Linked DNA regions of Bombyx mori. The protein of the gene in region 3 purifies or fractionates together with the protein of the main gene of each other region. This does not show direct contact. Links are inferred from orthologs where the notes say so. Each region holds a gene or a part of one and is shown on either strand. Other genes may lie near its edges.

Region 1 (3,659 bases), on a different chromosome or scaffold from region 3:
CATCGTTCTGTTAAACGTATAATATTTAATAGTTATGTATTCCAGGAGGGTGGCAACATTTACCTTAGTTTAAATAAACATGGGCTCCGGTAGACATTTATCATCAGGTATCGTAAGGTAGTCTATACATAAAATAAAAAAAGATTTCACTCTCTGTACCTACAGCTGTAACATGTTTCATTAAATTTATGTGTTGCGAAATATATACGTGTTACTTTGTACATGAAAGGCGTATGCTCCGAAAGGCGTATGTTCAATGTTCACTAACTACCGATGTGACGTTGTGATTTGAATAAAAAGTATTTATGAAACATAGATTATAAAGCAGCGCTTGTTTGCATAGATAAGCAGAATGCTTTGCAAGGAATGCGTTACGCTGTGAATAAATAATGCGAAGTGTAAACTTTGTGAAATCGTGAGGTGAACATTTTACGTGTGTAAAGTTGCGTAAACATCAGTGAACATCAATAGAATAATCTTTAAAACTACTTACTTTGTAATACAGCTAATCCGAAAAAATCCGTATCGGTCATGCCTCGTAGCTGGACATGTCCGTTGACCAATGCTTTTAACTCTTTGACTCTTGATTTTGCTTCCACAACGAAGTGAAGAGGCTGTGCTTGACCGGGCATGCGGAGGGACAGAAACCGAGCACCCGCGCCTAGAGCGCGAGTGTCTCCGCCTAACGGCCCGCGAACCGAACACAGAGCGCGCATGTCGCATCTCGATGTTACTGTTACACCCTCTGAAATAATAAATATTACATTATTATTTTTAATTGTCTTACGGAACATTGTGTACAAATTCAGCACTTCGTCTTGTTTAGTCGTGCGCACAAGGCTTATGTCGCAAGCCAGATTTTGTTTCTTTTTACTTGTGTTTTTTATGTATCTTTTTTAGCTTGTGATGTCTATTGTGTGACTAATAAATAAATACAGAAAAAATTGGATAGAATAAGCAATGATACATCTCATAGAGAGTTGGTAGGGTAGTAAGATCCGTTACTAGTAAATTACTAGTAAACATTACAGAATCACTGGTGGTAGGACCTCTTGTGAGTCCGCACGGGTAGGTACCACCACCCCGCCTATTTCTGCCGTGAAGCAGTAATGCGTTTCGGTTTGAAGGGTGGGGCAGCCGTTGTAACTATACTGAGACCTTAGAACTTATATCTCAAGGTGGGTGGCGAATTTACATTGTAGATGTCTATGGGCTCCAGGAACCACTTAACACCAGGTGGGCTGTGAGCTCGTCCACCCATCTAAGCAATAAAAAAAAAAACATGTACCGAACAGGTAACAAAGTAAACTTCCTAAAATAAACGCAGAGTTAATCGGGAGAAAGTAAGGTTAAAATAATAATTTTAATTAAAGTTTTTTCTTTGGAACAGAACAAAACGAATAAACGAATCTTTAGGCGGTAAAGGCGTTTTTATTTACTTTTAGGCAATTTAACTTAAATATTGTATAAGATAAGGTAAATATATACGAAAAGTATAATCTGAAACAGGCTAAAAGAAAATAAATATCTTTTTAAAAGAAATATTTTCTTTCACAGTTGAATATTAATGTCTTAATATTTATTTCACACGTAAACCACAAATATCTAGGTATCTGTATAACAGGTATTATTTTGTTAAAAGTATAAGTGTACATAAGAAGTTTCCGTGAACAGCTTCCACTATGAACGAAATAATATAAAAAAAATGAGTAATTACTAATGGCTTATCGAGATTCCGCAAAGGTACCTAAGTACCGACCTTTCGCCTATTTCTGCCGCGAAGCAATCGTGCGGTAAGGGTGGATCAGTAATTAAATAATCGAGATTTCGTCCTGATTTGTTTTAAAGTGGATAGCGACATTTAGTTTGTTATGTATGCACATCAGAGATACCATAAGACCTACGGTAACAATTTTATACCAGGTGAACTCTGCCATACCTAGTGTGTCTATCTACAATAAAATCGTTAGTTTCTACGCATACCACGTAGACTTAATTTATAAAAAAGGATAGTAGATGCCATACAACTCGTTTAACCATGGGTGTATTTCAGATTTTACATCTAGCAATTATCACCCAAATAGAAGATAATAATCTTCTAGATGAGAACTTGAATTCCTGTATATATAACGGGACGATACGTCCCGATTGTGGCGGGACAGTCACGCTTTCGGGAATTCTGTCCTGCTGTCCCCAGCGAGGCAGACATAGTTCCGCTTTTGCAGAGAGACCAAACGATAAATTTATTTTTCAATTCAACATGGCACTAGGAGTGTTTAAATGGGCTAATTTAACAAAAGTGCCTTCGTGGGAAGAGGTACAGAAAGTACTTGATTTACTGAACACACAAGGGTTTATTATCAGAAGCCAAGATACGAGTTTTTGATGCAAAAATTACTGACTGGAATGCCGAGAATGTTTCTACTGAAAACCGTTGGGTCGAATTATTCCAGCACTTCCGTACCAACAATCTACATTTAACAAACTTTTCCACAATTATTGAGTAAGTTATTTGTCACCTGGAAGTAACGCACCGTTGAAAGAGTTTTTCTCAAATGAACAAAATATGGATAAGTGATTAAACGCAGTTAAGTGTTGCAGTAATGAAAGCTATTTTGATTACGAAAATAAATATGTATAAATAAATCGTATACAGTAAAAAAAGTTAGTAAAACAGAATTTGTCGTGACTATTAATTTATCATCGGCAAGGCATTGGAATGTTCAGAAATGCGCCATCTGTGGATTCCATTTTTTTACGATCTTGCCTTACTACCTGCATGCAGAGATCTGCAAAGAGCAGACCATAGAGTATAGAAATACACGAGACTCTGCAGTTTTATTAAATTGTTATAATATGCATTATTTCAATGGACTAAAGATGCGTTATTTTTCAGGAAGTTTCAAGCTGCATTTAAAATTAATGATATTTATTAGATTGCAGTAACCTAATCTAGGTAAAAGCTTTTTTTAAAACACTTTGAAGTTAAATTGTACAAAGTTATTTGATGTTGTGAGGCAATTGAATAGACTATTGTGAGACAATTGAAGTACTTTCTTAAACATAATTAAGGTATTCGTCTGAGAACATGAAAATAATCCACAATTATGTTTTATGTGTAAATTTTATAGCTGTTATATATTATTACAAAAAATGTTTGTTTTGTATGCTATGTGTAAGTCGACATGATTACAGTAAACAAACTTAAATTTGTATAAAATTTAATTAATGAACCTACCTAAATAAATATAGGTCAATAAGTTCTAAATATTTCTTGTTACATTATAATATGCGCACGTAGTTTTTACGACCATACTATTCGGAATCTCCAAATAGGTTAACGGTTAAACTGTTTTTATTTATTATTATTAAAAGGATGATAAGTTAGGATACCTGGACCGAAATATTTTATACAAAGATGCCGATTTCGATCGGATTGCGGAACCGTGATCAGAATATATTAAATTTAACATCAATGAACTCTTTGAAATAATTACATAGGTACCAAATAGAAAACATTACGGAATAAATTTGAAGAATTCGGTACTGGTATACGGTATGGAATAAATACGTCGCAGCAGTGTTATGCAATGTACTTATATAAGGATTTTCTTTTCACTTTTCTGACAAACTCTCATTCATAAAATTTATGTCCGCAG
Region 2 (3,659 bases), on a different chromosome or scaffold from region 3:
ACCTTTTAAGCCTTCTCTGGATTTCCATAATTCAAGACCAAAATTAGCCAAATCGGTCCAGCCGATCTCGAGTTTTAGCGAGACTGATGAACAGCAATTCATTTTTATATATTCCTAATAAGAAATGAATCATTTTCCTATGCAGTATTTTCATGTGGGTGTTCAAGTTTTTTGAGCATTCGACTTCAGCACTTTCATAATTGCAAGTATTTTTGGCATGTACCAGGGCGCCGTACTTCGAAGTGAAAACCTGGTTTTAAAACCTGGTAGCGTAAACGGGCCTCATTTTTTTTTGTTGCCTAGATGTGTGGAGGATCTCACAGTCCACCTGTAAGTAAGTGGTTACTGGAGCCCATAGACATTTACAACGTAAATGCGTCACCGCCTTGAGATATCAGTTCTAAGGTCTCAGTTACAACGGCTTCCCCACCCTTCAAACCGAAATAGGCGGGTGGTGGTACCTACCCGTGCGGAGTCACGAGATGTCCTACCACCAGCAAAACACAATTGAGGTAAATTGTGCCGTAGGTAAAGCCATCCGAAGTGTCTTAGGTCAGTGCCAGGTTTCGATCGTGCGACGCTCCTTCTCAATACACCTGGAGCGTAGGCTCACCTGTATGAGGAAGTCCCCTTTGATGCCGGTGTGCTGCTCCAGCTGGCGGACCGTCCACGAGGTGTTGTCGTTGTACTGCAGCAGCACCGCCATCTGGAACGTGCTCGCCTGCAGCGTGTACCTGGACGTTACAATAACCTGTATCCCAGCTTTCGGTCGCATAGGAGGCTAGCAAGCCCTGGACAGAACACCGGCCAGATGCGTCGTCGTGACCTAAAGGATAAGACGTCCGGTACATTCGTATCGAGCGATGCACCGGTGTTCGAATCCCGCAGGCGGGTACCAATTTTTCTAATGAAATATGCACTTAACAAATGTTCACGATTGACTTCCACGGTGAAGGAATAACATCGTGTAATAAAAATAAAAACCCGCAAAATTATAATTGGCGTAATTACTGGTGGTAGGACCTCTTGTGAGTCTGCGCGGGTAGGTACCACCGCCCCGCTTATTTCTGCCGTGAAGCAGTAATGCGTTTCGGTTTGAAGGGTGGGGCAGCCGTCGTAACTATACTTAAGACCTTAGAATTTGAATCTCAAGGTGGGTGGGGCATTTACGTTGTAGATGTCTATAGGCTCCAGTAACCACTTAACACCAGGTGTGCTGTGAACTCGTCTACCCGTCTAAGCAATAAATAAAAAATATATTATATTGAATAATATATTTTCGTGAAGCTTCGAGAGCTCACTAAAGGCAATGCTGAGTTCCACTCGCTTGAGAACCTGAAGTCAGCGGTTACTGTCTTTTTACTGGCCCCTTTTTTATAGGCAGACGAGAATACGTTCCACCTGATGGTGAATGATTACTGTCGCCCGTGGACGTCAGCAATGCCAGGAGCAGAGCCGTTGTCTGCTCGGGCGTTACCTGTTCTTGAAGCAGTTGGTGAGGAGTTCCCCCTTGCTCATGTTGTAGAGCCAGTTCAGCTTGCGCCCGGAGTGTTGCGACGAGTAGAACGTGGTGAACCGGTGCACGGAGCGCTCCAGCTGGAGAGATACAACCAAACCCAACATTACACATTTACACCTTTGAGAAGTCGAGGAAGATCGCCAATCAGGCGGACGGACATTGGCAAGGAGGCCACAAACACCAGCGTCCCGGGCGCCATTAAGCAGGCCGAGTGCAGGCAACATTGGAGGAAGCTGGTGCAAAAACTGGACCAAGGTGGTCACGACCCTCAGTAATGAGGAAGCGACGAAGAATAAGAAGAACGAATCTATTATTGTACTAGCTGTACTCGTCCGCTCCGCTGGACATTTAAAATTAACATATTTCTCACCCCCACAAAGATTCTCATCATTAACGCCCCCGCAACTGGTGTAAGGAGTCCAACACTCATATAAATATTAGCCTATCCATTAAGTACATGTATTTTCTACATGGATACCAAGTTTCAAGTCAATCGGATGCATGGTTCAGTAGTTATAACGGAACATCCGTAAAAACCACTGTAGATTTATATATTATTAGTATATATCACTGTGACTATTGTGCAGTGTGCTTAGTGCGAGTTTTTAACGTCCTCAATAGCGTAAAAGTTAACTCAAATTTGTATGTAGATGGAACAGCGCCCCTAGCGGCAAATGTAGGCAAACTAACTACCATTTCTGCCGCGATGTAATAACTCGTTCCGGTTCGAGTGGTAGGGCGACCGATGTACAGTATAATCGAGATTTAAATCTGTCGTCTCGAGGAGTTGTCTATGGGCTCGAGTAAAAAAATAGTTAAATTGCAATTTTGTTCACTAAATCGCTCAAGGATGTGAATACGACATTCGCGTTAGAGACAAAAGGACAACGTCACAATCTATACTAATATTATAGAGCTGAAGAGTTTGTTTGTTTGAACGCGCTAACCTCAGGAACTACTAGTCCAATTCGAAAAATATTTCAGTGTTAGATAGCCCATTTAAAGAGAAAGGCTATAGGTTATAACATATGAGTCGACTATTATCAAAGCCGGCAATGTGACTTTTGGACAATTATTGGTAAATCAGAAAAACGAATTATTGACTTTGTATTCCATTGGCAGTCACAAAACTCTTCTGAACGACATCTTAGATAAATAACAGGTTAAGTATTAACCTTTATTTAATGCAGGTTTTGAACCGTATTCTTTGAAGGAGACGATTATATTCAAATCAATCTGTATTGACATATCAATAACATTTTTTTTGTCCAAATGCACAGATTGCCACCTTTGATAATAGACGACTCATATATAACATCACGCGAGGACCAATACAAGCGGAGCATCAATAAAGAATGTTTTTTAAATATTTTCACTTTCTACGAAAACGAAGTGGGGGTAAAATTTAGCGTTATTCCAAAGTGACTGTTCCACGCGGACAGAGTCGCGGGCAAAAGCTAGTCTTGTTATAAAATGACTGATGGTCAAACGAGAGCGCTTAACCATTTAAAGCCAGTCGGGCTGTGAACTCATTCAGCTACTTAGAACAATAGAAATTGAAGACATCGCAGACAGGTTAATGTCTCTATGGGTGCATTCAATTTCGATAGAATCAGCTAGGACTAGTGATAGAAACGTCTTCAGGTTTGATCCCTGTGAGCTCATCTACTACGAGTAATTCTGTGAATCTAGCATAACCCCTCGAGATTACTAGATTAGGTTGGCGGTAGGACCTCTTGCGAATCCCCGCGGGTAGGTACCACCGCCCCGCCTATTTCTGTCGTGAAGCAGCAACGCGTTTCGGTTTGAAGGGCGGGGCAGCCGTTGTAACTTTACTGAGACCTTAGAATTTATATCTCAAGGTGGGTGGCGCATTTACGTTGTAGAGGTCTATGGGCTCCAGTAACCACTTAACACCAGTTGGGCTGTGAGATCGTCCACCCTTCTAAGCAATAAAATAAAAAATAAAAAAATGAGTAATATTGTGATTGGGGGGGGGAGTATTGAAGTGGTGACGTCACCTCCGTGGGCAGCTGGAAGGACGTGGACTGCTGGAAGGGCCACGAGCCGGACGACAGCACCTGGATGCTGAAGTCTATGTGCAGGGGCTGCTCCGAGCTGTTTGCCATGTGCTTCCTGA
Region 3 (3,659 bases):
CGTGGCCTAAACGGTTCAGTAAGATAAGGCTCACCGGTGCGCACCGTGGTCTGAATGAAAATACTCGTTTTTTCATGTGGCGTACAACGTGTCAAAGGTAATCTCGTCAGCTTGTATCGAGGCACCGCATTACACTACCGACGCGCTATGATGGCCGTTTTGACGTTTTTTTTTTTATTATTGCATACATGGGTGGACGAGCTCACAGCCCACCTGGCGTTAAGTGGTTACTGGAGCCCATAGACATATACAACGTAAATGCGCCAGCCACCTTGAGATATAAGTTCTAAGGTCTCAAGTATGGTTACAGCGTACTATTACCACATACCTAACTCGGTATTTGCTTTTCGATATACAAAATTAAAAAAAAAGAAAATTTAAGAAGGTTAATAAATTAATTTAAATTTATTAATTAAAATAATTTAATAAGGATTTATAATTTGGTTTTATTAAGCCTTTTTAATCAGGTACTACTTGCAATAAAAACTTGTAGATTCCATTATATTTTTTTGCGAGAATAAATTGACATTTCACATCACTATTGTATTAAGTCAAAACGGCCATCATAGCATGCCGATAGTGTAAGCACTTTTTTTTATTGCCCTTGTAGGCAGACGAAGCACTTATCAGCTTCGATAACATTCCTTGTACTGATCTGAAGGGATGCGGTCACCTGATCTGTCTCGTTCCATCTTGTGAAGTAGTTGAGGCATGCGTCCCTTTCCGCCGCGTACGCAGGGCTGCTGGGCACCGGTCTGACGCCGCTGTCCAAACTTGTCAGTGACGTCACCTGGAAAACGATCGTGAAAGCGGTTGAGACAACCCTAGCACTCGGCGTATAGTGACGCGACTAAGTCAAGTTCTTCGAAAGACATTGTGTGCTTAGTCACTAGTTTTTTTTAATTTGAAAGTTCTGAACAGCTTCCCTTCGTTTGCCGCTAGGGGCGCTGTTCCAACTCCATACAAATTTGAGTTAACTTTTACGCGATCGAGAACGTTAAAAAACTCGCACTAAGCACAATACTAATATATGTTTTGAAGGTCGAGACAATGGTTGGAGATCGGAATTGAAACTTCGATCTCTTCTTTCGAAGTGAGCTGCTGAATTTACCGTTGCTATGAACGATGAATGGATGATGAGTTTACCACAAAGTACCCTTTATGGGACTCGCAATTCGTGCGCAAATTATTAAAACAAAATCATCATTGTAATCAATGCAATTGATCGGAATGCAGTGGATCGCGATTCAGATCCGGTGGTAGATTCAACGAAGCACTACTCTTGCTAGGGCTAGTGTTAACAAATTCTCTCAGGTTGAGCCCGTAAGCTCACCTACCGTAGCTAGAATAGTCCCTTAGGCTAGTGAATAGGTAGGGTTTTTTTTGACAGATTTTACTGATGTATAATTGTACTATATGTTTCTTAAACCGAGAGGGCTGGTGGTCGTGGCGCCGACGACCACCGGACCGGCGTCCCGAGGGGGAGGGTGATAGGAGAGATGTGCTCCGCACTAAACGCTTCACTTTCCCCCCTCTGCCTCTTCATGAGTTCTGTCTCATGCGAGGTTTGGACGTTGGTTGTTGAGCGACAGGAGGTTTTAGTCAGTTCGACTCAGACATGCCCCGCCCTCCATCCCCAGTGGAGGGCGGAAGTCCGGCGATTTCCTCCTGACAAAAAAAAAAAAATATGTTTCTTAAATAATAAACTTTAAAGTAAATTTTTTGTTTACACTATTCATAGGGGAAGGCGATATCTGCTGTGTTCGTATAAATAACTAGCCATACTCGCTCGCTTCGCTGGGCATTTAAAACTAACATTATTATTTATTGTCATTATTATTAGGGAGTACAACTCTCATATAAATATCAGCCTATCCATTAAGTACATGTATTTTCTACATGGATACCAAGTTTCAAGTCAATCGGATGCACGGTTCAGTAGTTATAACGGAACATCCGTAAAAACCACTGTAGATTTATATATTAGTATAGATTTCCCAAACCTTCATAGCTGTAGGGGAGAGAGAGGGGGGGGGGGGGTGATACGGGTGGCTTCAGAGAACCCAGAATAAGCCCCAATATGAATGAAAACTATATTGATATGCACATAATTTAGGATCGTCGGGAAGTAAATTTATTCATTTCCATTGGCATACATTCAATATTGGATCATTAAGGTTAGATGATTTTATTTATTAAAAATTTGACTGACTAGCTGGCAAAGATTATATTAAAATCTATTCCTATCGACATCCCATTTAAAAAATTCTCCTATAACGAGGTCAACTCTTATAACGCGATGTCATGTCCTCAGCAAAAAACCCGCGTTTTTTCATATGACGCGGCGATTTTTTGCTTGTTGAAATATTTCATACAAATTTTCATTAATTTAATTCTGTCAATGAGATCAAACGGGGGCATTATGAGAGAGAGAGAGAGATAATACACTTTATTGCACACCAACACAATTTACATTCAAAAAAACAGTCAAAAAGCACATATGTACAATAGGCGGTCTTATCGCTAAAAGCGATCTCTTCCAGACAACCCTTTAATTTACAGAAATACTGTAAAATATAAAAATAAATTTTGCTCCTATAACGCGGAACCAACCCACCGCGTTGTAAAAGGCATTAATGAAAATGCAAGACATTATCTTTAGTGTATAATACAATGAACAGAAGAGTTCTCTCTTCTCTCTCTAACTTTCAAAGCTTCCGAGGAAACATCACAAAAAATTCCTTCAAAGCAACTTCATATCTGTGACGTCATATGGGGGCAAAAACAAAAATAGATCATACACTCACACACAATAGTTAACCAGCCACATACGGCATCATGATTGCGATTAATATAAGATTAAAAAAAAACTTCTTTAACTTAGCTTAAAAACTAGGAATTTATTACTATTTTTTAGATAATTATGTTGGGTGATTTTTTTTTTGTTGCCTTTATAGGCAGACGAGCTTACGGCCAACTTGATGGTGAGTGGTTACCGTCGCCCATGGACTTCAGCAATGCCAGGGGCAGAGCTAAGCCACTGCCTACTGATAAATGACCTATATGTTCGAAGGATCTAAGCTCGTATTTATCTATCACAAATCTAACCCTTTTCGAGCAAGGGAATTAGTTTTACCAAAGTTATACCTTTCGCCACTACTACGAGACGACTTCTCGATCGCAAGGCACGTGTGCTCTCTCGGCCGAGATGCGATCGAGTTTCCGCATGCAAATGCGTGCCGGCCTCGCGTTAAGCAGAGGTCAAGCGTTTAGACAGGCAACGACTGAGTGAGACATTTCGATCTAATATACATTATCGCTCACCAATCGATCGAGTATCAAGTTAGACGAGAACTTTTTTCTCGATAGCGTAAAAGTTAACACGAATTTGTATGGAGTTGGAACAGCGCCCCTAGCGGGAAACGTAGGCAAACGTTCCAACTCCATACAAATTCGTGTTAACTTTTACGCTATCGAGAACGTTAAAAAATTCGAATTAAGAACACAAAAGATTTTACTGTGGGGTAGTAGTTTATAATAACAGCGATCTCTCAGATTGATGTTGAACTTAGATTGGGTAATGGTACGAAACTTATAATGATAAAGCTTTTTATGAAAAATAGATCTTAATTGTTTTCTAATTCATTCTCAACAGCAAC

What was found.
Region 1: the proteins of beta-TrCP (region 3) and protein expanded purify together in Drosophila melanogaster (affinity purification with western blotting; 4 studies listed by BioGRID, with this or other methods). This does not show direct contact. The link is inferred for Bombyx mori from reciprocal best matches to the Drosophila melanogaster genes slmb and ex.
Region 2: the proteins of beta-TrCP (region 3) and cullin-1 purify together in Drosophila melanogaster (affinity purification with western blotting; 4 studies listed by BioGRID, with this or other methods). This does not show direct contact. The link is inferred for Bombyx mori from reciprocal best matches to the Drosophila melanogaster genes slmb and Cul1.

What each region holds. Positions count from the first base shown.
Region 1 is NC_085118.1:7,049,256-7,052,914, reverse strand, and holds part of protein expanded, read right to left. Parts: intron 746-3,659; 5' UTR 717-745; coding exon 494-716; intron 1-493. UniProt on the Drosophila melanogaster protein: Activates the Hippo/SWH (Sav/Wts/Hpo) signaling pathway, a signaling pathway that plays a pivotal role in organ size control and tumor suppression by restricting proliferation and promoting apoptosis.
Region 2 is NC_085108.1:4,432,358-4,436,016, forward strand, and holds part of cullin-1, read right to left. Parts: coding exon 3,541-3,659; intron 1,597-3,540; coding exon 1,478-1,596; intron 735-1,477; coding exon 614-734; intron 1-613. UniProt on the Drosophila melanogaster protein: Core component of multiple SCF (SKP1-CUL1-F-box protein) E3 ubiquitin-protein ligase complexes which mediate the ubiquitination of proteins involved in cell cycle progression, signal transduction and transcription.
Region 3 is NC_085130.1:17,513,215-17,516,873, forward strand, and holds part of beta-TrCP, read right to left. Parts: intron 791-3,659; coding exon 674-790; intron 1-673.